Linked DNA regions of Macaca fascicularis. The protein of the gene in region 3 binds, or shares a complex with, the protein of the main gene of each other region. Links are inferred from orthologs where the notes say so. Each region holds a gene or a part of one and is shown on either strand. Other genes may lie near its edges.

What was found.
Region 1: TREX1 (region 3) and nucleoside diphosphate kinase A share a complex: the UniProt entries of both Homo sapiens proteins name them as parts of the SET complex. The link is inferred for Macaca fascicularis from reciprocal best matches to the Homo sapiens genes TREX1 and NME1.
Region 2: TREX1 (region 3) and ANP32A share a complex: the UniProt entries of both Homo sapiens proteins name them as parts of the SET complex. The link is inferred for Macaca fascicularis from reciprocal best matches to the Homo sapiens genes TREX1 and ANP32A.

The regions. Positions count from the first base shown.
Region 1 is NC_088390.1:55,553,380-55,557,545, forward strand, and holds the start of nucleoside diphosphate kinase A, read right to left. Parts: upstream 2,801-4,166; 5' UTR 2,747-2,800; exon of another isoform or gene 2,685-2,746; intron 782-2,684; 5' UTR 778-781; coding exon 652-777; intron 1-651. UniProt on the Homo sapiens protein: Major role in the synthesis of nucleoside triphosphates other than ATP. The ATP gamma phosphate is transferred to the NDP beta phosphate via a ping-pong mechanism, using a phosphorylated active-site intermediate.
Region 2 is NC_088381.1:45,585,764-45,589,899, forward strand, and holds the start of ANP32A (acidic leucine-rich nuclear phosphoprotein 32 family member A), read right to left. Parts: upstream 2,801-4,136; 5' UTR 2,657-2,800; coding exon 2,603-2,656; intron 1-2,602. UniProt on the Homo sapiens protein: Multifunctional protein that is involved in the regulation of many processes including tumor suppression, apoptosis, cell cycle progression or transcription. Promotes apoptosis by favouring the activation of caspase-9/CASP9 and allowing apoptosome formation.
Region 3 is NC_088376.1:111,432,523-111,435,850, forward strand, and holds TREX1 (three-prime repair exonuclease 1), read left to right. Parts: upstream 1-1,277; 5' UTR 1,278-1,344; intron 1,345-1,662; 5' UTR 1,663-1,687; coding exon 1,688-2,632; 3' UTR 2,633-2,828; downstream 2,829-3,328. Other genes in the region: ATRIP (ATR-interacting protein), read left to right, coding at 1-115, 518-585. UniProt on the Homo sapiens protein: Major cellular 3'-to-5' DNA exonuclease which digests single-stranded DNA (ssDNA) and double-stranded DNA (dsDNA) with mismatched 3' termini. Prevents cell-intrinsic initiation of autoimmunity.

The DNA.
Region 1 (4,166 bases), on a different chromosome or scaffold from region 3:
AGTGCTGGGATTACAGGCATGAGCCACTGTGCCTCGCCCAGCCAAGAATTTGAATTTTTATCTCTAGAATGTGTTTAAAGAGGGGTTACTGGTCAATCAATCCCTTGCATTTATCAGAAGATTGCTTTGTAAGTAGCTTGCAGGTACATCTGCTCTCTGCTATTTCAGGAGAACCTTCCCAAAACCAAAACCATAGTTTTCCTCCACAAGCTCCTATGGTACCTAATAAATGCTAGACAATAAGCATTGATGGGTGTCTAGTAATTGCTGATGGAAGATTTTCTTGCTAAAAACACAACCTGTCTCAAAGGGGGAAAAAAATCTCTCTAAAATTATCTGCTCAGGAAGCTCAAGACCAAGAACTCAAACATGCTCAGCTGAGTCACAAATTACAGAGATGCAGTCATATGTGGAACTCTGCACTGCTTTTCCCATAGCAATGCACCTCATATTACAGAGACTATTTTGGAAAATCCTAAACGTAGCCAAACGCTAGGGCACTGAGGTGTTTCCAGGTCTCTAGATACTTGTGTCCACTCTGTCCCTCTACCATGAAGAAGTTTAAATAAGAAAGCCGGGGAGAAACAGGTTAATCACAGTGTTCTCCCATACTATGAAGAAATCAAAATGGGAACAATGAAGTCCACTTACTTGCATGAATTTCAGACCAACAAGGCGGAATCCTTTCTGCTCAAAACGCTTGATAATCTCTCCGACAAGACCCCGCTGGACCCCATCTGGTTTGATGGCAATGAAGGTCCGCTCACAGTTGGCCATGGTCCTGGGGATAGGCAGGTAGAGGAATGAAACGGCGCTGAATCACTTGCCTACATCGTCATCCTCCTCAAGCGGATTATCCCATAAAGCTGGTTCAAATCTGTCAGGTCAGCTGCAGGTCTCCCTCTGCTAAAAACCCAGTTCCTCCCCAGTCCCCTCATCTATGAACAAATATGTCAATGTGGGAAAGGATCCAAAAGCAAGGACTATAATTTCTATCCCATTTGATTTATTTTATTTTTGTTTTGGTTTTTGTGGTTTTTTTAGAGATGGGGTTTCGCCATGTTGCCCAGGCTGGTCTCAAACTCCTGTCCTCAACTGATCCACCCACCTCAGCCTACCAAAGTGCTGGGATTATGGCCATAAGCCACCGCGCCCAGCCCCTTTTTTTTTTTTTTGGTATGGGGTCTTGCTCTGTCGCCCAGGATGGAATGCAGTGGCGCGACCTCGGCTCACTGCAACCTCCACTTCCCAGGCAAGCTATTCTCCTACCTCAACCTCCTGAATAGCTGGGACTACAGGCGCGTGCCACCACGCCCAGCTAATTTTTGTATTTTTTTTTTTTTAGTAGAGATGGGGTTTCACTATGTTGGCCAGGCTGGTCTCCAACTCCTGACCTCAAGTAATCCACCGGCCTCAGCCCCCCAAAGTGCTGGGACTACAGGCATGAGCCCCGTGCCTGGCCACCATTTGATGTAATAAGCTTCTTTTAAGCATCTACTGTGTACCAAACACTGTGGTGGAACTAGGATACAGGAGGTAAAAACTATCTTTCTCAGTAATCAAGCTTGGGAGAAACTACACTGATACAAAGTTTTACTAATGTGAAAGTGATGTCTGGCACAAAGCAGTAAGAAATAATAGTTTGACTTAATGTCACATCCATAGCATTAGGGGTTTTAGAGAATATATCTTTACAACCCCCTTCGTTTTACAAATGAGGAAACAGGACCAGAGCACCAGAATGAAGGCCAAAACCCAGCATTCCCAACCCATTAATCCATTCTTGTAATGTATGCTACACTTTACAATGCAAAGAATATTTTGACTAGCCAATAAACGGTGGGGTGTGGGAGAGCTACAGACATTAGGAATACCTGATACGGGACATCATACTGAAAGGAAGCCTAGAGAGTACCTATTCTGTCCAGATCCCTCATTTTACAGAATACTGGCTCATGATGTACCCTGTATCACATCTTGAGATGGGAAGCCCCTCGCCTTGAAAGACAATCTCTGATGTACACAGCAGCTCCACCTATTGGCCCCACCTTCCTGTCCTTTAGTTAACCTCTTCTTACAGCATCTTAGCACCGTAGCCCAACTTTCTGTTTGTGTGTCTGCCTCCCCACCGGTCTCTGGCCTGCATACCAGGCTGATTTACTCCTGTGTAGGTCTATGGTACCTAGCCACAGGGCCTAGCAGTCAATAAGAGCAAAGAAAATCATTTATCATCACTCTGCAACTTCCAAAAAAAAAAGAGACAAAGCCCAAAGACTGCGGAGAATCGCCCGATGGGGTGCGGGGCAAGAATATTGTCCAGGAGAAAACAGGACTAAAGTGCCAGAAATAGATCCTAAAAATGTCCCTCCACATCGATCCCGGTGACACAACAGTAAGCACTCAGTCCTTGCTGAATGAATGACACACACGCCCGTCATTTATTCAGCAAGGCCTTATAGAACGCCAACTCCGTTCCCGGCACTGCTCTCGACAGAGGCAAATAAGGCACAGCCCTGTCGTCGCGGCCTGACGAGAAAGGCGGCCACCGACAAAGGAGAGTCCATGTGGCATGGGATGTGCGCCGACCGGTCTGCACTTGTCCACAGGCGCTCCCTGCCCCTCCTCCCATCCGATCCTCCTCGCCGCCTCTTAGAGCTGAACTGACCTCTTCACTAACTCCTCACCTAACTCTCTCCGGCGACTACACTCCTTTCCTTTCCCTCTCAGGATCCCGAACACCTCTTACCCTTCCAGCTGGTTAGTCTTGAACTCCGGCTGCAGCCGCCGGAACCCGAAACGCGCCGGGGACCCACGTGGTTCGCAGCACTCGCACGCACGGAACGCTTCCGCGCAGATCCGCTGCCGGAGAGCCCATTTTGCAGAACACCGCTCGCCCACGCTTCCTCTTGGGAGTAGGCAGTCATTCTAGGGAACAACTTTCTGCTGTTTAACTTCCGGCGCCAGCTTTTTCAGACCTTTCCGGTTAGCTGCTTGCTTTCTTCCCTCCACCCCCGGGTTCTCTGACTCACTTCCTTTGTTCGCGAGCAAATTGGCTTCCCGAGAGGTGGCGCTCACACTTTGCATGACGTCCAAAAAGCGCCTGACCTAGAAGTAAACTTTTCGCTCCCGCTTTGTGTTTATTCACCTTTTCTAACCTGTCAAGCAAAAGATTTTATTGAATACCTACTATGTGGACGCATTATTCTAGGCCCTAGGGATACAACAGTATGCTTTCTTGGAGCTTCTGGGAGGGACAGGAGTATAGGAAAACAAGAAACAGATAAGCAAATTAATATGTAATAGATCTCATTATGTAAGTGCTGTGAAGAAAAGGCCAGAGAAATCTCTGAGGAAGTGATAATAGAATGGACCTGCATGAAGTGAGCGAGCCAGCCCAGTGATTCCCTGAGAGCCAAGTATTACAGTGGATATCGAGTGGTAGAAAATGCCGTTAGAATAGAGCCAAATCTTACGCTGTGAGATGCCAATACGGATTTTGCACAAGGCATCACATCATCACTGACATACTTTTTCAAAAAAACATTCCCACTGCTCTCAGGGGAGAGGTACAAAAATGGAATCAGGAGCCTTTTCAACAAATGATGCTGGGTAAATTGGACAAATATAGACCCAAAGAACCTCAACCTAAACCTCACACCTTATACAAAATTCACTCAAAATGAACCATAGATTTAAACATAAAACAATAAATCACTGATGGGGAAAAAAAAAGAGTTAAAAAAAATTCTCAGGACCTAGGGCCAGGCAAATAGTTTTTAGACGACACCAAAAGACCAATCTATAAAAGGAAAAAGTTGATAAATTGGAACGTACTGAAATTTAAAACTTTTTTGGCCTAGCACGGTGGCTCACGCCCGTAATCCCAGCACATTGGGAAGCGGCGGCGGGAGGATCACTTGAGCTCAGGAATTCGAGACCAGCCTGGGCAACATGGTGAAACCTCGTCTCTACTAAAAACACAAAAATTAGCAGGGCGTGGTTGCAGGCGCCTGTAGTCCCAGCTACTCGGGAGGCTGAGGCAGGAGAATCGCTTGAACCCGGGAGGCAGAGGTTGCAGTGAGTCGAGATTGCGCCAGGGCACTCCAGCCTGGGTGACAGAGCGAGACTCGGTCTCTAAAAAATAAATAAAATAAAATAAGTAAAAT
Region 2 (4,136 bases), on a different chromosome or scaffold from region 3:
CCCGGGAAGCCACAAGGCCGGCCCCGCGCGTACTGCACCCCCACCGCCCGCCTGCCCGCGCCCCGCGCCGCATGGAGCCCGGAGCCCGCATTCCGAGCCCCGCGCCCCGCGCCGGGGAGGAGGGGCGGGGCGTGCGGCGCGAGCCCCGGGAAACATGGCTGCTCGTCCTATTTCGGCGTCGCGGCATGGCCACCAGCTCCCGGAGCCCAGTTGGGAGAGGTGCCGAAGGTGGGTGTGTGGGGGGCCTGGGAGCAGCGCGGCGGGGAGGGGCGCAGGGGGCACGCTCTGGGAGCCATTTGTCTTAAGAACGTTTAAAAAAATACAGTTCCTCCTCCCCCACCCCTTTTGTCCCTCTTTCGCTAGCTTTCTCCCCCACCCCCGCAAATGTGCAGAAAGTGCCCCCTCCTCCGCCACCCGCGCCCCACCCCGCCTCCAGGCAGGGGGCAGGCGTGTGGGCCGCGAGGCTGGGAGGCGAGGGGGCGAAGCGTGAGAAATCGCTCCCAGAACGGCGCGGTGCGCTCCCCTCCCCAACACACACACACACTCGGGGAAGTTTAAAGAGCCGGTTCGACCCGCTTTCCGGCTCTCTCCCGGGGGGCCGGCAGCGTCAGTCGGGTTCGCCAGGCCAGCCGCGCCCCCACACCCACCCGCGGCGACCCCGACCCCGCGCTCGGCGCCCTTCCCCCTCCGCGCAGGGGGCTTCCGGAAAGTACGCGGGAAGACCGCGGCCCCGACCCCCTCCCCCATCACCACACCCAGCCCCCAAACGCAAGGCGCCGGGTCCCGGCCAGGACGAAAGCGGCCGGAGAGAAGCAAACCAATGGCAAATAGTGCGGGGAAACTCCGGCCTCCTCCGGCGGCGCCCCCTACTCTCCCGCGACCGCCCCCTCCCCGCCCTGCGCGCCATAAGGCACTCGCACGTCTCCAGTCCACAGCTGCGTTAAGGCGGGGAGGGGGTAGACAAAAAGGATCTTGTTTTCAAAAGTCTCACTCAGGTTTGGGGGGAGGAACTAGGGAAAAGAGGAAGCGAGGCCTGCCTTCGCGGGGATTCGGGTTTAACGGGCTGGAGGAGCGACAGGCCAGCGCACGGTGCTGCCCAAACTCCCAACTCCGTGGAGCTCGGGCCACCGAGACTGGGGGCGTCCTCCCGCCAGCGCGTCCCCGGTCCCCTCGAGGGGCCAAGAGGGGAGTTGGCCGGGGTCTCCGCCCCAGAGCCGCCAACTCGCCGAAAACACTCAGGTTTGAAAGCGAGAGGGAGGCAGAAATAAAAACCAGCGTTCGAGTCACCCACCCTCACCTTCCCCCTCCTCGGGGGTGGGCTTTCGCTCGAGCCTGGCGATTCCCACCCGTGTAAGTTTCCTCCGGCTGTGCTCCCGCCGCTGCCCAATCAATAACGGCGGCTAGCGGGCAAACTCCCATCCTAGAGCTGCGTGTTTGCCATGCCCGCATAAACGTGGACCCAGCCAGTACCCACCACCGGCGCCAGCTCCGGGCAGCTCGCGTCCTGACAAAGTTTCCCGTGCCCATTTATTAAGCAGGCGCCGAATGGCTGCCGACGAGCCCAGCCCTGAGAAAGACGGGCCGGGGGTTCGAGCTGGGGGACACCAGGGCCCAAAGGCTGGCATCTTGGGGAGGCCGGAAGGAGCTGGGGCGAGGGGGGACCGGGACGTAGCCTTTGGGCAACTTGCACCAGCGATCACTGGAGGCAGGGAGGCGCGGGGATTATCTGTGCCTTTGCACGTTCGAAAATCCCTCCCCCTCCTTCTAATTTATCCTCCCTTCGGAAGGAAAGGAAGAAACATCAGCATCTGGCCCGAAGGTGGGGTGGAAAGAGTGAGGGAGAAAGAGGAGGAGAGGAAGGGAGGCAGAGAAAGGGAGGGAGGGAGAGAAAGGGCGCGTTCACGAACACTACAAAGTTACAAATATGGCTCCCCCGTCTCTCGCCTCATCACTGCAAAGAAATGAAGACGCACTTTAAACTCCAGCCATTCCCAACTCCGCTGCAGCCCCCTCCCCACGCGCTCTCCCCGGGGCCCTCGGCCCACATTTATCAGAAACTAAACCGGACTCGCGAAGCCCCAAACTTATTGTGTGTGCGAGCGAGCGAGCGAGAGAAAGGGAGGGGGGAGGCGCGGGAGGGGGGCGGAAGGGGGGATACATTTATAAAATGTAAAACCCCCTTTTTTTGTTGTTAAATTCAGGAGGCAGCCCCTCTCCTCCTCCTCCCTCGTTAATCTTCCCCCCAGACGGAGTCACGGGAGCAGCGATCTGCGAGGGTGATTTCGCCTCATTCTCTCCGACCCAAACGCGTGCGCCCGCCGGCCCCCGATGGGTGCACACTCGCACGCACACTCTCGCACCCACACTCGCACACGCGGGAGCACACGCACAGGTAGTCACACACCAAGGGCAGCGGCGGCGGCAGCCGGAACATGCTCGGATGGCATTGCAACCCCCCAGCCTTGCCAATTCGCTTGCAGTCCGACCCCCAAACCCGCACCTCCCGGGCGCCCCCCCCAAAAAAAGTGCCTCCCCCCAGCGCGCACACACACACACAAAGTAGGAGAATGGACCGACAGAGATATTTTTGGCAAATGCTCACATCAGAGGGCGTCCTGTTCCGCAGCTCTAAATGAATCCGTCTGCCCATCTCCATCTCTCGCGCTCTCTCTCTGCAGAGGCTCCCGCGCCGGCGGAATTCAATCAATAAACCCCGAACCCACGGCCGCGCGTTTTAGGACTTTGAAGGCTCAACCAGCTCCGCTCGGTTCTCGAGCCCCCAGCACCCGCGGCGCACACTAACCTGATCGCCGTGGAGGCGGGATCTGCGGCCCCGCGGACGAGCGGCAGCGGCCCGAGCCAATCGCCGCCGAGGGTCTCCGGGCAACAGCCAATGGCAGCGGCGGCGGGGGGGGAAGGGACCAATGGGCGGGCTGCGCAGCCGGCCAGGGAGGCTCGGCCATTTGGTTGTGGTGCCGGAGACGGACCCCTTTAGATTTCGGGGCGGCTGAGGAGCGCAGCGGCTGCTCTGTGGCTGAGTGAGGGGGGTGGGCGGAATGGCGGGGGAAGGGAAGGTGACTGTGCCTCGAGGGCCGAGCCGCCCGGCCTCGCCAGCCCGCCGCCGCCTCAGCGTTCGGCCGGGGGCGGGGCCGCAGGTGCGTTCTACGAGGGGGAGGGGCGCGGCCGGAGGGGTCGGGTCGGGGTCCCCGCCCGGCTGAGGGCTTCGCGAGGCGGCGCGACGGGGTTGCGGAAGGAGGCGGGAGGCTTGAGGTCTGGGGGCCGCGGGCTGCCCAGCGGGAGGGCAGATGAAAGGCCTGGAAGGAGGGGAGGGGTCAGGGTGCAATGCGGGGAGGGGCTCGTCGTGTCCCGGGTCCGGCGGCTAGCGCTGGGGAACGTGGCTGCCCCCGTCACCCCCGCCGCGGCCGCCCAGCCCGCGCCCCTCTTCCCCTCCGGCCTCGTCCCGGTCAGGCCGCCGCCGTCGCCACCCGCGTATACATAAGTCAGTAAAAGCAAGATGCTTCCACTTTTGGATGACTTACCGCGCGGTCGCGACCCTTCCCACGAAGAGGCTTTTCAGTTTGCTGTCACATAAGGTCAGCTTGGAAGAAGTGATCACCAGGAGACACCCAAGATCTTGTTTAGGCAATAAAGGAATGAAGACCATGGATTAAGAACTGTTGCTGGATATACAGAATATTAAAAGGTGGAAAAGGAAGGTGCTCATAACTCCTGGTTTTCTGGACGAAACATAATTTATGGGCTTTATAGACCTAGTGAAAGAGAACGGCGCACGGTTTATTCTAATCGTCCACCTGAGTCATTTGGTTCGGTTTGGGTTGCCAAGGAGGCTCTAACTGGAGCACTTTCTCCAGGTTTTTCGGCGTGCTTGCCTTGGGTATTTTTGAATCACATTAAGTTTTAAGAGACCCTAAAGCCCTGATGCCCACTGGGTTACCGACTTATGGCACTAAGTTGGCTGCCTGTGGCTGTTAATAAACCACGGGGATTGTTGTCAACAAGGACAGATACATCCTTACCTTTCCACACAACTGTATTTTAGTGTCTGTTTCTACATGTCTGCACTCTTCCCCACACACCTCAAGATAGTTTTTCCGGATACATTGTGTTTATTTTTC
Region 3 (3,328 bases):
CAGAAGGACAAGCTCTTCATAATGCACTGCGTGGAGGTCCTGCATCAGTATGACCAGGTGATGCCGGGGGTCAGCATGCTCATCCGCGGGCTTCCTGACGTGACCGACTGTGAAGGTGAGCCTGCCAGAGGCCCTCCCGCCCAGCCCCCACGGCTTCTCCCTGAGGTTCCCCAACAACTCATATTCCTGGGCATCCCCTCAGCAGGCCCCTGCCCATTACAGCCTGTTCCGGCACTGGGGTCATTTTCTTTTATCTTCTGCCCCAGTTCTTCTCCAAGCATATTGGGCTGCCTTTTGCTCCTATCTGTTGAATGTGCCTGGCAGAGCCACAGTTTTTCCAGAAATACCTGTGTCTGAATTGCTTTTGTATCACTTTGTTTGCAGTAGCTGAGGGAGCAAGGCCTGGGTCTGGAAGGGACTGGTTAGTTCCTGCGGGCGTTGGGGGAGGAGAGGTGGGACCCGCCCTAGGCCCTGGCACCTTTGGGCCCTCACCAAGAACCTCTCCTTTTTGTCTCAGAGGCAGCCCTGGATGACCTCTGTGCCGCGGAAACCGATGTGGACGACCCCGAGTTGGAGTGTGGCTGAGGCCCTGAGTGTCCAGCCACATGGTGGCACCAGCACCATTCCTTTCCTTACCACATCAACTGATTAAAGCAGTGACCAGCAGGAACTGCCCAGAGAACCGGCTGGCCTTGTTTCCTGAGTCTAATCTCTTTGGCGGAGTGGGAGGGGTGGAGCGGGACCGGGACGGGACCTTGAGTGGCTGGGATCCTTCTTCCTGTCCCTGGCTGCTGCTGAGCCCCAGTCCCCATGGTAACCGATCTGCCTTGAGGAAGGAGCCCTGCCTTGCCTGTGGAATTGTCCTGAGTCATTGCTTTGGGCTGGGGCCATGGGAAGAAACCATTGTGTGGCAGGGAAGGAGGTGGCTCTTGGCCCAGGCCTAAACCAGGAAAGCCTGGAAAAGTGGGACCCACAGGTGGGCACGAAAGGGCTGCAGCAGGAGCTCCCAGCAGTGTGTAACACCGGGAGCTGGTCTGGCGCCACTGCCCTGGTCCTTCCAGCTGCCTGTCATTGGTGTGATGGCCCGGTGCATTGTGCCACCATCAGGCCACAGCCGTGGATCTCAGAAGGCCTCTGGGGTCCCCTGGGGGCGGGGAAGTGGGGGTGGGGGGACGGATGTTGGCGAGAGGGACAGACCAGGCAGGCTGACGAGCAGGGCGGGCCTGGCTCACGTGGGGCTGTAGGCGGGCCCATACCAAGTTTCACTTCCCGCCACTGCTGCCAGCGAGAGCCGCGGGAGAGTGTGCAGCAAAGTCACTACTGCCTGCCTGCCTGCCTGCTACGGTAAGTGTGGCTCCCCAAGGGGATGGCGCAGGGCAGGAGGGCCATGGGTTCCCCGACCCCAGACTAAGGGGGCACTAGGGGAGGGGCCAAGTCATGTGAAGAGGGAGCCCTCTCAGACAGTCGAATGTGCTGGTCCCACTAAGGAAACCACCCCACCCTCTCCAACTTCCTGCCTGAAAATGGGCCCTGGAGCTCACAGACAGGGCAGGATTGTGCAGGGAAGGCCTGAGATGTGCTTCTGCCCACCCCCTACCCCACTCCCTCCCCTTCGGATCTTAACACTGGGCACTCACACACCCACCCTATGCTCCTCCCCAGGCTCAGCGGCAGGTCCTACCCAACCATGGGCTCGCAGGCCCTGCCCCCGGGGCCCATGCAGACCCTCATCTTTTTCGACATGGAGGCCACTGGCTTGCCCTTCTCCCAGCCCAAGGTCACGGAGCTGTGCCTGCTGGCTGTCCACAGATGTGCCCTGGAGAGCCCCCCCACCTCTCAGGGACCACCTCCCACAGTTCCTCCACCACCGCGTGTGGTGGACAAGCTCTCCCTGTGCGTGGCTCCGGGAAAAGCCTGCAGCTCTGCAGCCAGCGAGATCACAGGTCTGAGCACAGCTGTGCTGGCAGCGCATGGGCGTCAATGTTTCGATGACAACCTGGCCAACCTGCTCCTAGCCTTCCTGCGGCGCCAGCCACAGCCCTGGTGCCTGGTGGCACACAATGGTGACCGCTATGACTTCCCCCTGCTCCAAGCAGAGCTGGCTATGCTGGGCCTCACCAGTGCTCTGGATGGTGCCTTCTGTGTGGATAGCATCACTGCGCTGAAGGCCGTGGAGCGAGCAGACAGCCCCTCAGAACACGGCCCAAGGAAGAGCTACAGCCTAGGCAGCATCTACACACGCCTGTATGGGCAGTCCCCTCCGGACTCGCACACGGCTGAGGGTGATGTCCTGGCCCTGCTCAGCATCTGTCAGTGGAGACCACAGGCCCTGCTGCGGTGGGTAGATGCTCACGCCAGGCCCTTCAGCACCATCAGGCCCATGTATGGGGTCACAGCCTCTGCTGGGACCAAGCCAAGACCATCTGCTGTCACAGCCCCTGCACACCTGGCCACAACCAGGAACACTAGTCCCAGCCTTGGAGAGAGAAGGAGACCCAAGGATCTTCCTCCAATGAAGGACCCTGGAGCCCTACCCAGGGAGGGGCTGCTGGCACCACTGGGTCTACTGGCCGTCCTGACCTTGGCAGTGGCCACACTGTATGGACTATCCCTGGCTGCACCTGGGGAGTAGGCCAAGAAGGAAAATCTGAAGAATAAAGACCCCCCCCTCCTCCAGCACTGAGTGGTCACTTGGCTCCTACCCTTCTTGGCAGTCCAGACCTCTGCCCACACTCAGGGACCTGGGGAGGAGGGCATAGTGTTTGTCCCTCACTTTCCCTAGCAGGATGATCAACTATCTGAGCTCAATAAAAGTAGGGAAAACACGAGAAGCCCGAATGGTTGATGGAAACAGTACAGCCTGATCCCAATCCCAGCAGCCAGGAAGAAAGGGGGCAGCAGCTCCAAACGATTGCATTTATTATAAACAAGAGTATAGACCCCAGACTCAGAAACACAACAGATTCGAAGCTAAGACAGCTCTGGTGAAACAGTAATGGAGGAGGAACACCGAGGTATTCATGTCTGGGCCAGAGCTGCCATCCAGGGCCCCACACCCCACCTTTGGTCCAGATGGCCCCTTGGCCCAGGTGTCCCTGCTGCCAGAACACCCTGGACTGGGGTACCAGAGTTGCATATTCCATGAGGCTGGTGTCAGGGAAAGCAGGGACTCACAGTTGCCAGGTTGTCCGTCTCCTCTGAGCCAATTTCCCTCCACTATCCTGGGGTTTCAGTCTCATATCAACTATCATGTTTAAAACAGAAAACAGGCAAAATGTTTGGCTAAAATAAAATGAAAACACTGCAGGGAAGAGACCTGAGTGTGCTG